Schizosaccharomyces pombe: one gene and its partners. The gene in region 3 interacts genetically with the main gene of each other region. Each region holds a gene or a part of one and is shown on either strand. Other genes may lie near its edges. The genes, in order: SPOM_SPCC4B3.06C, mug117 and luc7.

Region 1 (3,172 bases), 270 kb from region 3:
AAAGCTTCAGAGAATTGATCACCGAATTGAAAGAGGTAGGAAGAGAGAATGTATAATGGGCGTAAAGAATCGGGGGTAAGAGCATCAAAATATTCAGTGGAATCCTGAGCAAGAGGACGAAGGTATTGGATGGCCTTCTCAATATATGGGTTTACCAACTGAGTGACCGGGATGTTGGCAAGAGATTCCTCGTTATCGTGACGCCAAACAAGAACACGTACCTTCTCAAGGTAAGCACGAGCAAGAGCAAGGAAAAGTCTCGATTCGTTGCCAGGAGCATCCAAGCCAAGTTGAGCTCTCTCGATTGCAGCATCTATGTAGGATTCTTCGGTATTGGTTTCCTTAAGACGCTTTTGTGCAATTTCGAAAAGCTCGGACACAGCCAAAAGAGCGGAGGAATAGGCCGCGTGAAAGTCCTTGGGTAATGTAGAAATGTCCTCGGTATTCCGTAATATTCTATCAGCCTCGTGAATGGTACCAAAGACAAGGCTCACACTAGCATCTATATCGTCATTTTCCAACTTTTCGCGACTCATCTCGTATAAACCCCAAAGTTGTGAAATATTGTCTTCCTCTGTGTAAACAAGCATTGTCTCATCCTCCATTTCTCCATTGTCGACATTTTCGCTTCCGTTTTCCTTACTAGGAGACGAGTTTCCTGACAGCTCATAAGAGGCTTCTTGCTTTTGTTTTTCAAGCTGCTGCTGCTTCTTTAAAGAAGCAGCAGCGCGTAGACCTTGAGGTCTTCTTCCAATCATAACGAACCGTTAAATTAACCTGTTTTGCTAAGGCAGCGTTGACATCGAGTGATTTTTTCTACCCAAAAATCGCGCGGGAAACTTGTTAGCAAGTTACAACGTAATGTGGTATTGTTGTTGCGTTGTCGGCCATGTGCGTTAAACCTAATAAGAGCATGGCGTAACAAAAACAATACCGTCGTTTTGTGGCTGTGGAAAACGAGTTACCAGAAGCTTGGAGAACTTGACATGTTAAAATGTATTAGTGGAAAGTATAGAGGCTCGTAATACAGTCGTACATATTGACTTGTTTACAAAAATTGATGATTTTAAATTGTGAAGGGGAAGCTTATTTTAAACATCTAATTATGCAGCAAGATACATTAACACGTTTTGGATTTTCATTGTTAAAAAAAAAGAGCAAAATTAAAAAGGAGATGGAAGAAAGTAAAGCTTTATGACTTCAGCGGATCTAGAGCAATTGAAGTAAACATATCTAGCCGAAATTTAACTTAGTAAATTGATTAAGATAGGTTTCTGTAAAGGAGATCTATGATATTCAAAATGCGGCAATATTTCTTAGGGCTTATGGCGCAAAAAGGTGCTATACAAAATTGCCAGCACGAGATAACATTGAAGATTTGGCAGTTTTGTAATGTAACGCTAATCTTTATTAAACAATAATATAATACGAAATCGCAACTTTTATGTGGTTTTGACCGTTTCTTTGGCAGGGAATTTGAATTCGTTTCTTAGTTTTTGAACGATATCTGATCAACGAGTTTGTTTATTTTAATTTTTTTAAACGGCTGCTTTATGGTAATGGACCAAGATTGCTCCAGCACCTTAAAAATACAGCACTAGTATATATATTTCGGTCGCCATATCAATAAATTACTTGATTCAGGTGCCGAAGTAATAAGTACTTAGGATGAATGTACTAGATGAAATTGAAAGTTTGTTAGCCAATTATAAAACAAAATAAAGCCTTTTTTACCATTTGATGACAGAATTTCTAATTTTTTTAATATTACTAAGTTATCTTGAACAATTAGTCATGTCCGAGGCTCGGACATAACAACATGCTAGTTTATAAAAGCACTACATTGTTTCACACAGTAAAAGAATACTCAGATATTCATTTACATTATTAACATCATGACCTTGCCTGAAAAATTACTGAAGATTACTCCCAAAATCCTGGTTATTATGGGAAGCGTTCGCAGCAAACGCTTATGTCCAACTATTGCAACGTGGGTTGGTGAGATGGGAAAAAGAGAGACTAATTTTGACTACGAAAAAGTTGATTTAACTGATTGGCCTCTATCTATGAGCGATGAACCCGGACTTCCAATTATGGGAATAGATGTGTACACTCAGGAACATACTAAGGCCTGGGGGTCCAAAATTGCTGGAGCAGATGGTTTTGTTTTTGTAACTCCGCAATACAATGGTGGATATCCTGCAATCCTTAAAAATGCCTTAGACCACTTGTATCACGAGTGGAATGGAAAACCGCTTTTGATTGTAAGCTATGGTGGCCATGGAGGAGGAGATTGTGCTTCGCAACTAAAACATGTTGCCGGTTTTCTTAAGATGCGAGTCGCGCCTACCATGCCAGCGCTCACGTTACCCAGAGATAAAATTGTTCAAGGTGTAGTCGACCCAGCGGTTGAATTTACAAAGCACCTTGGTGAACTTAAGAAAGCCTTCGGTGAGTTTTCTCAGTTGTTTGAAAGCAATCCTGAAAGGAAACCCTAGATAATTAAAACATAAGAGTATTTTGAAAGCTAGTATAGAGTGCATTTAATAAAGTCTGTTTTTTGTTTTTTTTTAAAAAGCCAATTTTCCAGTAAATCTGTTTGGTTTTAGATTTTATTCACATGGATAGATCTATTACTGTCATATCAACTTACCAATGGACTCTAATACCTTAATCCTTCCTGCTGTTCGTGTTGCCTAATGAAGGATTTTTAGCACGCATGTATTAGTAAACACGGTTCATATTCAGTCATTGTGTAATACGAATTTGTTCAGCAGTAAAAGTTCCCTTTAAAATTATATTTTAATACAATTTCAGTGAAGCTATTCGTGTTTTTCGTTTATAAGAAAAAGGACATAATTACTACTTGAAAAACTGCTTTGTTTTGACTGTTAACATGTCAAGAAAATATGTACACACATGTAGTCGTTATGAATAATATGCATTATAAGCATTATGATATGGTCTCGGGTAGTCAGGCCTCTGAACCTTATACCAGTCTACAATACTATCGGTTTTAGGTATACTTTGAAGGGATTTTAGTTTTCAAGACAACGGCTCAATACACGAGACTATGAAATATCTAAACAAATTAACTAGATTTGACTAGAGAAAATGTAGAATTTACTGCTAATTCTGCCAAATCTTTTGTGGTTCCCTATTTTCTTACATG
Region 2 (3,348 bases), 370 kb from region 3:
GAATCGTAAAGCACGAAACTTCTCTCGATATTTGTTGTTCGGAGTTAACGAATGATCAGTTGTATACGAAAGCACCATAAACATAATATGCTCAAGCTGAAGCGCTAAGGATGTAGAATTAAGGTCTTCTAATCCTTGCACACCTTCAAGTTTTGCTTTCTCAATGATTTTTTCAAAAACGGAAACCCAGGCTTTGGCAACACTTTTTCTAACAGGGTTTTGAATTTCATCGATAGAAGTGTGTAAACTAAGCTCCTTTTCCTGATCTGCAGTTTCATTGGAAGCATCCTTAGGAGATGTTTTTGGTGCATTCTTGCTACGTTTGGTATGAGTAGCCGTCGTACCAACACTGCCTCTTCGTTTTCGAGTTGAAGGTGGAGAATGAGAACTTTTTGGTGTCGTGGAGCCAATAGGAGTCCTAGGAGATTGTCGACCAGACCTAGTAGTCATTCCAACATTAGAATTTGTCGAAGCAGGCTCGGATGATTCTAGTTCAGCGCCTGACTCTTTAGTAATCGCCTCTTTTGAATCAGAAGATACAACATTATTTTCTTCATTGTTTTTCTCGTTCCCTTCATTAGAGGCAAGTAAATCAGCTGTCTGATGCTCTTCATCCTTATTGGGAGAATTTTGTACTTGTGATGAAACGTCGCTTCGCGAATGACAAACTTCACAATAGTAGCTTTCAGGTATATCCTTATCCGCTAATCCAACGCAACTGGCATGTTGCCAGCAATCACACCCATCACATTGAACCCACGTATCGCCAATGTCTTCTTGCGATTTACAAACACACCGAACAACAGTTTCAGGAGGTTTTTCTGAGGCTTTTGCCGTCCTTCTAGTGCTTTTTCTTACCATGCTTCGTTATTATGGGAATAAAAAGTATTTTGATCAATGACATCTGTACTTCAAGGTTAATACATGCAATTCGAATAACAAGTGATTGAATGCGTACTAAATAAACTGAGGAGATTAAAATATATGCATAACTAAACAAAAGTCGTTCCTGAAGTGTTTAATATCCTCACAAAAGCTCGTCAAGAGTTCTAAAAAACAAGGTGTTGGCAGGTATGGGTTATTGGCAAGTGGCAGCAGTGTTGTAGTTTGTTATAGCAAAGGTGCAAAATCTGCGAAAACTAAGGATACATGCTATTTTATAGTTCGAATGCAATATTTTACGATTAAATGTGAATATTGTTAGAAAAGGAGCTTCAAAAATATGAGTAGTGCACGAGAGTTACTGAGGAAAGTAAAACAAGAGCGATTAGGGCAAAAGCGAGGTCTGAAAGCCTCTAGTCAAGAACTGAAGCGTCAGAAGACGAGAGATCATAAATCATTTGAAAATTTAGGTCGTGATCAATCTCGTGAGCTGGCAGTAAGTGATTTTAATGAAAAGCAATCTACAGAACCTCCTAAGGATACACGAGCGGTGTCCGCACTTCCAGAAAACTTTTTTGATGAATCTATTGCTAAAAATAAAGAACTAATTGAAGAAGAGTGGAACGATTTTCAAAATGAGATTGGCATTATTGAGGAAAATGCTGTTGAACAAGAAATAACACTCCAACAGCAACAGTTATTGGCCGAAAAGGATGAAGAAAATGAAATTGCAGATAATGATTTAGAACCAGAAGTTTATGATATTCTTTATGAAGAAGAAAGCAAATTGGGTGAGTCGAGGGATCTTATCCGTCGTTTGAAACAAAAAAGGTTTGAAACTAAAAAAAATAACTTTTCTGTTAAAGAATCTAGCAATTTATCTAATAATGACTCGGATGCTTCACTAGATGAAGACACCTTGCTTTGGGGTTTGTAAAGCTCTGTTTACGATCTTAAAAACAAACAAAAATATTGACACCAACTAAAAGAATACTGTTTATATTACATATTCTTTCCTTAACCAAAAGAAAAATATTAATTAATTAAGAATAATTGCAAATAAGAAGCATTGCTTTAAACACTTTTGCATATTTAATATATATTAATATTTCGGAAGGAATGTGGAAATTTTGTTGTGTAACAGAGAAATTAACTTTGTTCCTATTCATATACGGAATCTGCATTTACATATGCATTGCAGTCCCAATTAGAAGTGATCTTAGTACTGTCTTTGAGCCAGAAGCAAAAGGCTCTCGAATTACTTCAAACTATCGAAGAAGTTTATTTAACATGCTTGGATATGATAATTCGGTTCATCCTAATAACTGTAAGGGCTCATTTCTTTGCCCTATGCTTCGAGGAGAAAATCGTGCGTGTCCGAACGCGTACATGAAGTATAATAGATCCTTGATCTACCATGGATATTCTTCTTATACAGCTAGTTCTTGCACTGCCATTTATGAGTGCGAAGGTGATTATCCAGCACGCACAGGCAACGAAATCATTGATGAATTTGATCAATTAAATTTGCAATGTTCCGCTTGTGGAACTCGTTTTTTTAATAATGATAATGAAAACACAAGATGCTATGTCAAATTGAACTACTGTTATCCAGACTGTACCGAAATTACACCAAGCACCAGCGAATACGATTATCGAGAGCCGGTTAGAGATTGGTAATAATAAGAGGAAAGGATCCATTCTGAATTAAGCATAAATATCATAAATACGAATTTCCAAAAAGGACGACGATTACTGGTGACTTTTATTCTTTTAATCTTTTGTGCGATTAAGTTATCTAAACAGTGATTGTCTTTTCTTATATTTTTAGGGATTGAAGGTATGCAACACAATCTTCGACACTTCCTTCAGGGTGTTTAAATTGCCAGGAAATCATGTTATCCATAGTCTCTTTCAGCTGCGGGCCAGGCTTAACTCCCACATTTTTCATGATCTGTTTTCCCTAAAAAATTGTTAGCTTATTCGCTCAATATTGTTAACAGAAATAAAAGAATTACATACGTCTAATAATGGCTTCATGTTATAAGCATTTTGTAAATTTTTGTCATAAATAAAGTCATATAGAGATTTATAAGAACTAAATGTATTTGATACAGATGCTGCCGGTGTTTTACAACAACTATATATGACCGATGTTAAAAACACGACTTCCCAGGATTTATTCAATTGTCGTATTAAGCTGCCAATAGATGAGCAATTTTTAGTGGAAGTATCGTTAACTAATTCATCGAATATCGGATTGAATGTGCAGCACTGATTCAACTGGTTAACATATGTACTTCTGAGCTTCAACTTGTCTTTTGCGATGATTGCAGGAATATAAAATTGTTTTTTCTTAACCATAACAGTTTGACTAGACCATGGAATTAGAGCAACATATAGCCATAGCCCAATTTTCTCATCTTCACTTAATTTCATAAGTTTAGGAAACGTCAATGCAAGACT
Region 3 (3,733 bases):
CGCGAATCTTGGATAGATGTTGTTTCCGGTTGGTCTGCCAACTGCCAGCCCCCGATCATCCGTTTCGAACTTTTCCTCTTCTTTTTCTGGAGTTTCTACTGGCGTTTCAAAATCCTCACCTTGTTCGAATGCGGCGTAATTAACCGCTGGAACATTTCTCAACGAATTTCTGCCTGTATACGAAGAATGCGACCTAGTCGATACTGCAACATTTTTTTGGATTAAGCATGTATTTCCCGTTTTCAAACGAGATGAGTATGTGGTTTTACAAGCTTGAGCCATGTAAATTGTGAAGTCGGTAGTTTGCACAAGTATGCCAAAAAACACTATGTAAGCCGCAAGTCAATTTACAGTTGGAAGTACTATGTTATGTTTTTATTTATTCTATATGATTGTATTAAACGTAAATTATAATCGAGAGTTCTTTTATCGGCCCTGATTTGGTAGAACCGTTGATAAACGTTTAATACTTCTACATTGCCACTGGACTTTCGAATCACAGAATTTTCAAGGATATCTATACAAAATAAAATAAAAAGTTAATTTAGTAAAATAGTTTGACTCCTTTCGATTTCAGATTCTCCAAAACAAACAGTTGCTGAAGGACAAGTAAGGATGGTTGGGTTAGTACGACAATATTAAGGCAAAGAGTTTATTCCTGCTTTATTTTAAGGATATACTTATAGCTGTTATTCAAATTGAAATACATATATCAATATACCTTGTGAGATTAGAAATAAACGAATATAAAATATAAGAGGTACACTTATTTTGTGCATGACATGAAGAATATTGTAAAAAAGCAAGTAAGGAAACAACCATAAACGTAAAAAGGTAAACATAATAATAAGATTCTATATAGGTCTGCGTAAAAGGCATCACTAAGCGAATAAAGGCGGTTAGTTGAGATCCTCCACTTTTTCATTACGAAATGTAGGTTATGCAACAAAGGAAGTTGAGATTTTATCTTCAAAAGAAGCTAAATTATCTCTTTGTTTCTCTCCGTCCTTTTTATCACGGGATTTTTCACGGTCCTCTAATTGAGCTCGAAGATCCCTAGCAATATTTCGCAGCATGGCATATCCAAGATGCATTTTTCCTGAGAAGTGATCAGCTAAACGACGATCGTTGTCTAATCTTGAAAGATAAGCGCTACAAATATCACATACTTGTAGCTTTTGATGCGTTGTGCTAGCCTGACTGGGAATTTCATTCATGGAAATCACTTCATCATATAATTCTTTCCTGTATGTCTTCAACCTATTAAGCTCAATAAAATGTTTAACTGCATCATTCACTAATTTTCTTTTTGCAAGCGCCTCCATTTCTGTAATAATAACTTCAATTGAATGGTCGGTATGTATTATATCTCGCATTAGCTCATCTATCCGTTCTTCCTCCTCTTTTGTTTTTTCTCTACGAGCTTCAGCAATATCAATACGCTTATTACAGTCATCAACATGTCTTTCTAGGTCTTCCAGATAATCCCACTCGTAGCCATAGTCATGTGAATAACTAGCCCGTTCATAATCCGACTTCAACTTGTCACTGTGGATCTTTGGACAAGGCCCCAAATCCATTTTAGTATTTGTAAATATATCATGAGGACAAATACCACATAAAAAGCTTCTGCAAACTTTGCGATCAGTGAAATGTACTAGGCCTCGAGAGGTAAAGTTACTCAAATTACTGCCCATCAACTGTTCTATGATTTTCCTCTGTTCAGCGGCCATAATAAGTGTATTTTCGGCAAAATGTAATTTTATCTCTGCTGATGTCCTATTTGTGGGTTTTCGACAAACGCTGTAAAATGAATAGAAAATTTCACTAGGTTTTACAAGTAGTATAAAGAATTTTTTCCTTTATTCACAATTAAATCAAAATTAAAGTTTACAATCGCTCAAATTTGATTGAGATGTAATTTGAGTAGCTTGTTGGGTTAAAATTCAAAAAAAAATTTCCCGGAAAAGTTCAAAAGTTGCTATTTCTAAATCGTTAAATATAGACGAGGCAATATATTGATACTTTATTCTTTCGATTAGATCAACTTTTACAAATTGTTGTTGAAAACTCAAACTTGACAGAGGGCAGCAATATGCGTCACCTGTATAAATCCTTTTTCACCATTTGGTACAACAAGTTTACTTAAACCAACAACTCCATTCCCCCAATTTTTTGCAATTTATAAGAGTGGAACTTGAAGAAACAAAAATATAACGAATAAATGACCATGTTTTGAGAATGGCATCAACTGCTACTCAAAACGCAAGCACTCGATATTCCCAAATTTGGATCGACCAACCTGCTTCATTGCCGTTCCAAGATTCGATAAATTTAATTAAAGAGGATAAAGAAAAATGGAAAAAAGAAAAAACTGCCTTTTTAATTGACTATGACTGGTTCGAAGGATACGTTGACTTTATATATGGAGAAGGCGACAACCCTGGTCCTATAACTCAATGGAGGCTGCTGGATGAAAAAAACGAGCTTAAACATTCTTTGGAGGAATCTATTGATTATAGCATTGTCTCTGCTTCGCTATGGCATATGCTTGTTGAGTGGTATGAATTTTCTTTAAAGGTCTCTACAGTACTTGTAAAAGGCATTATTAATTAAATTCAAAACTCATATTCATATATGTTTTGAAAGCATTGTGTCTTAGTTTTGAATATTTCATTAATTTATGTAGTTTGCATTACTTCCCACGGTGCCTAAATATATAGGTTCCCTTGGATTTTGAGGCCTCTTTTCAATTCCCATTATGTTATTAGCTAACTCAAATATAGGTTTGGATTAGAAGGTCTAGCTATAGAGCGAAAAGTTCTTTTGGTAGGATTGGCTGCTGAGCAAAAGCCATTCGTAGATATCTATCCTATAAACTTTACTTTGCACGTTTTATTCGACCCAATAAACGGTGAAAACACGAGCTATTCACCATTATACCAAATTGATGAACCATATCATAGTGATGAACCCTATGCGTTTAGCTTTTCCCGAAGTGATACCCTTCGGTCTTTGTACAAACAAGTGATGGAAGCTTTCCAAATATCTGATGGTACTTCTTTCCGTTTATGGTATCTAAACAAAAGTAATCTATCTTCTAGGTTTGTAAGTTTGTCGGAGTTCAATGATCAACCTGCGATTGCTTTGCTTTCCGAGTATGCTGTTTGCATGACTATTTTCGAAATAGATATTGCCGATGGAAGCTTATTGCTCGAGTTTCAACATCCTAACGGAGAGTGGTTATCTGACTCTATAACCAAAGAGCAAAATTTAACAATAAATAAAGAAATCGGACTCTGCGGTCTTTACAATTTGGGTAATTCATGCTATATGAATTCTGCCCTTCAATGTATGATACATACACACGAACTTACAAAATATTTTCTTAGTGATTCTTATGAAAAGGATATTAATTACAACAATCCGTTGGGAATGATGGGGAAAGTTGCCTTGTCTTATGCTAGTCTACTGAAGATGATCCATCATACTGCTGATATGCACTCGGTGTCACCTAGTTCTTTCAAATTTATAATTGGCGAGTTTAATACCTATTTTTCTGGATATCGTCAGCAAGATTCTCAGGAATTCATCGCCTTTTTCTTAGACGGGTTACACGAAGATTTGAATCGAATTCAGATAAAACCATACTTTGAAAGGCCAGATTTATTTGACGAACACCCATTACATGTTCAGAGAGTTGCAAATCAATGTTGGGATATTCATACAAAAC

What was found.
Region 1: mutations in luc7 (region 3) and SPOM_SPCC4B3.06C together harm fitness more than expected from each alone (negative genetic interaction), as found in Schizosaccharomyces pombe (one large-scale study listed by BioGRID).
Region 2: mutations in luc7 (region 3) and mug117 together harm fitness more than expected from each alone (negative genetic interaction), as found in Schizosaccharomyces pombe (one large-scale study listed by BioGRID).

The regions. Positions count from the first base shown.
Region 1 is NC_003421.2:1,163,293-1,166,464, forward strand, and holds SPOM_SPCC4B3.06C (NADPH-dependent FMN reductase), read left to right. Parts: upstream 1-1,895; coding exon 1,896-2,498; 3' UTR 2,499-2,582; downstream 2,583-3,172. Other genes in the region: protein Nro1, read right to left, coding at 1-758. UniProt on the Schizosaccharomyces pombe protein: Has several reductase activities that are NAD(P)H-dependent and involve FMN as a cofactor. May be involved in ferric iron assimilation.
Region 2 is NC_003421.2:1,256,147-1,259,494, reverse strand, and holds mug117 (protein mug117), read left to right. Parts: upstream 1-2,001; coding exon 2,002-2,562; 3' UTR 2,563-2,701; downstream 2,702-3,348. Other genes in the region: bye1 (transcription elongation regulator), read right to left, coding at 1-861; SPOM_SPCC645.12C (uncharacterized protein), read left to right, coding at 1,223-1,819; cca2 (ATP/CTP tRNA nucleotidyltransferase), read right to left, coding at 2,702-2,845, 2,905-3,348.
Region 3 is NC_003421.2:890,720-894,452, reverse strand, and holds luc7 (U1 snRNP-associated protein Luc7), read right to left. Parts: upstream 1,942-3,733; 5' UTR 1,734-1,941; coding exon 939-1,733; 3' UTR 617-938; downstream 1-616. Other genes in the region: RSC complex subunit Sfh1, read right to left, coding at 1-282; ubiquitin hydrolase Ubp1, read left to right, coding at 2,242-2,561, 2,787-3,733. UniProt on the Schizosaccharomyces pombe protein: Component of the U1 snRNP particle, which recognizes and binds the 5'-splice site of pre-mRNA. Together with other non-snRNP factors, U1 snRNP forms the spliceosomal commitment complex, that targets pre-mRNA to the splicing pathway.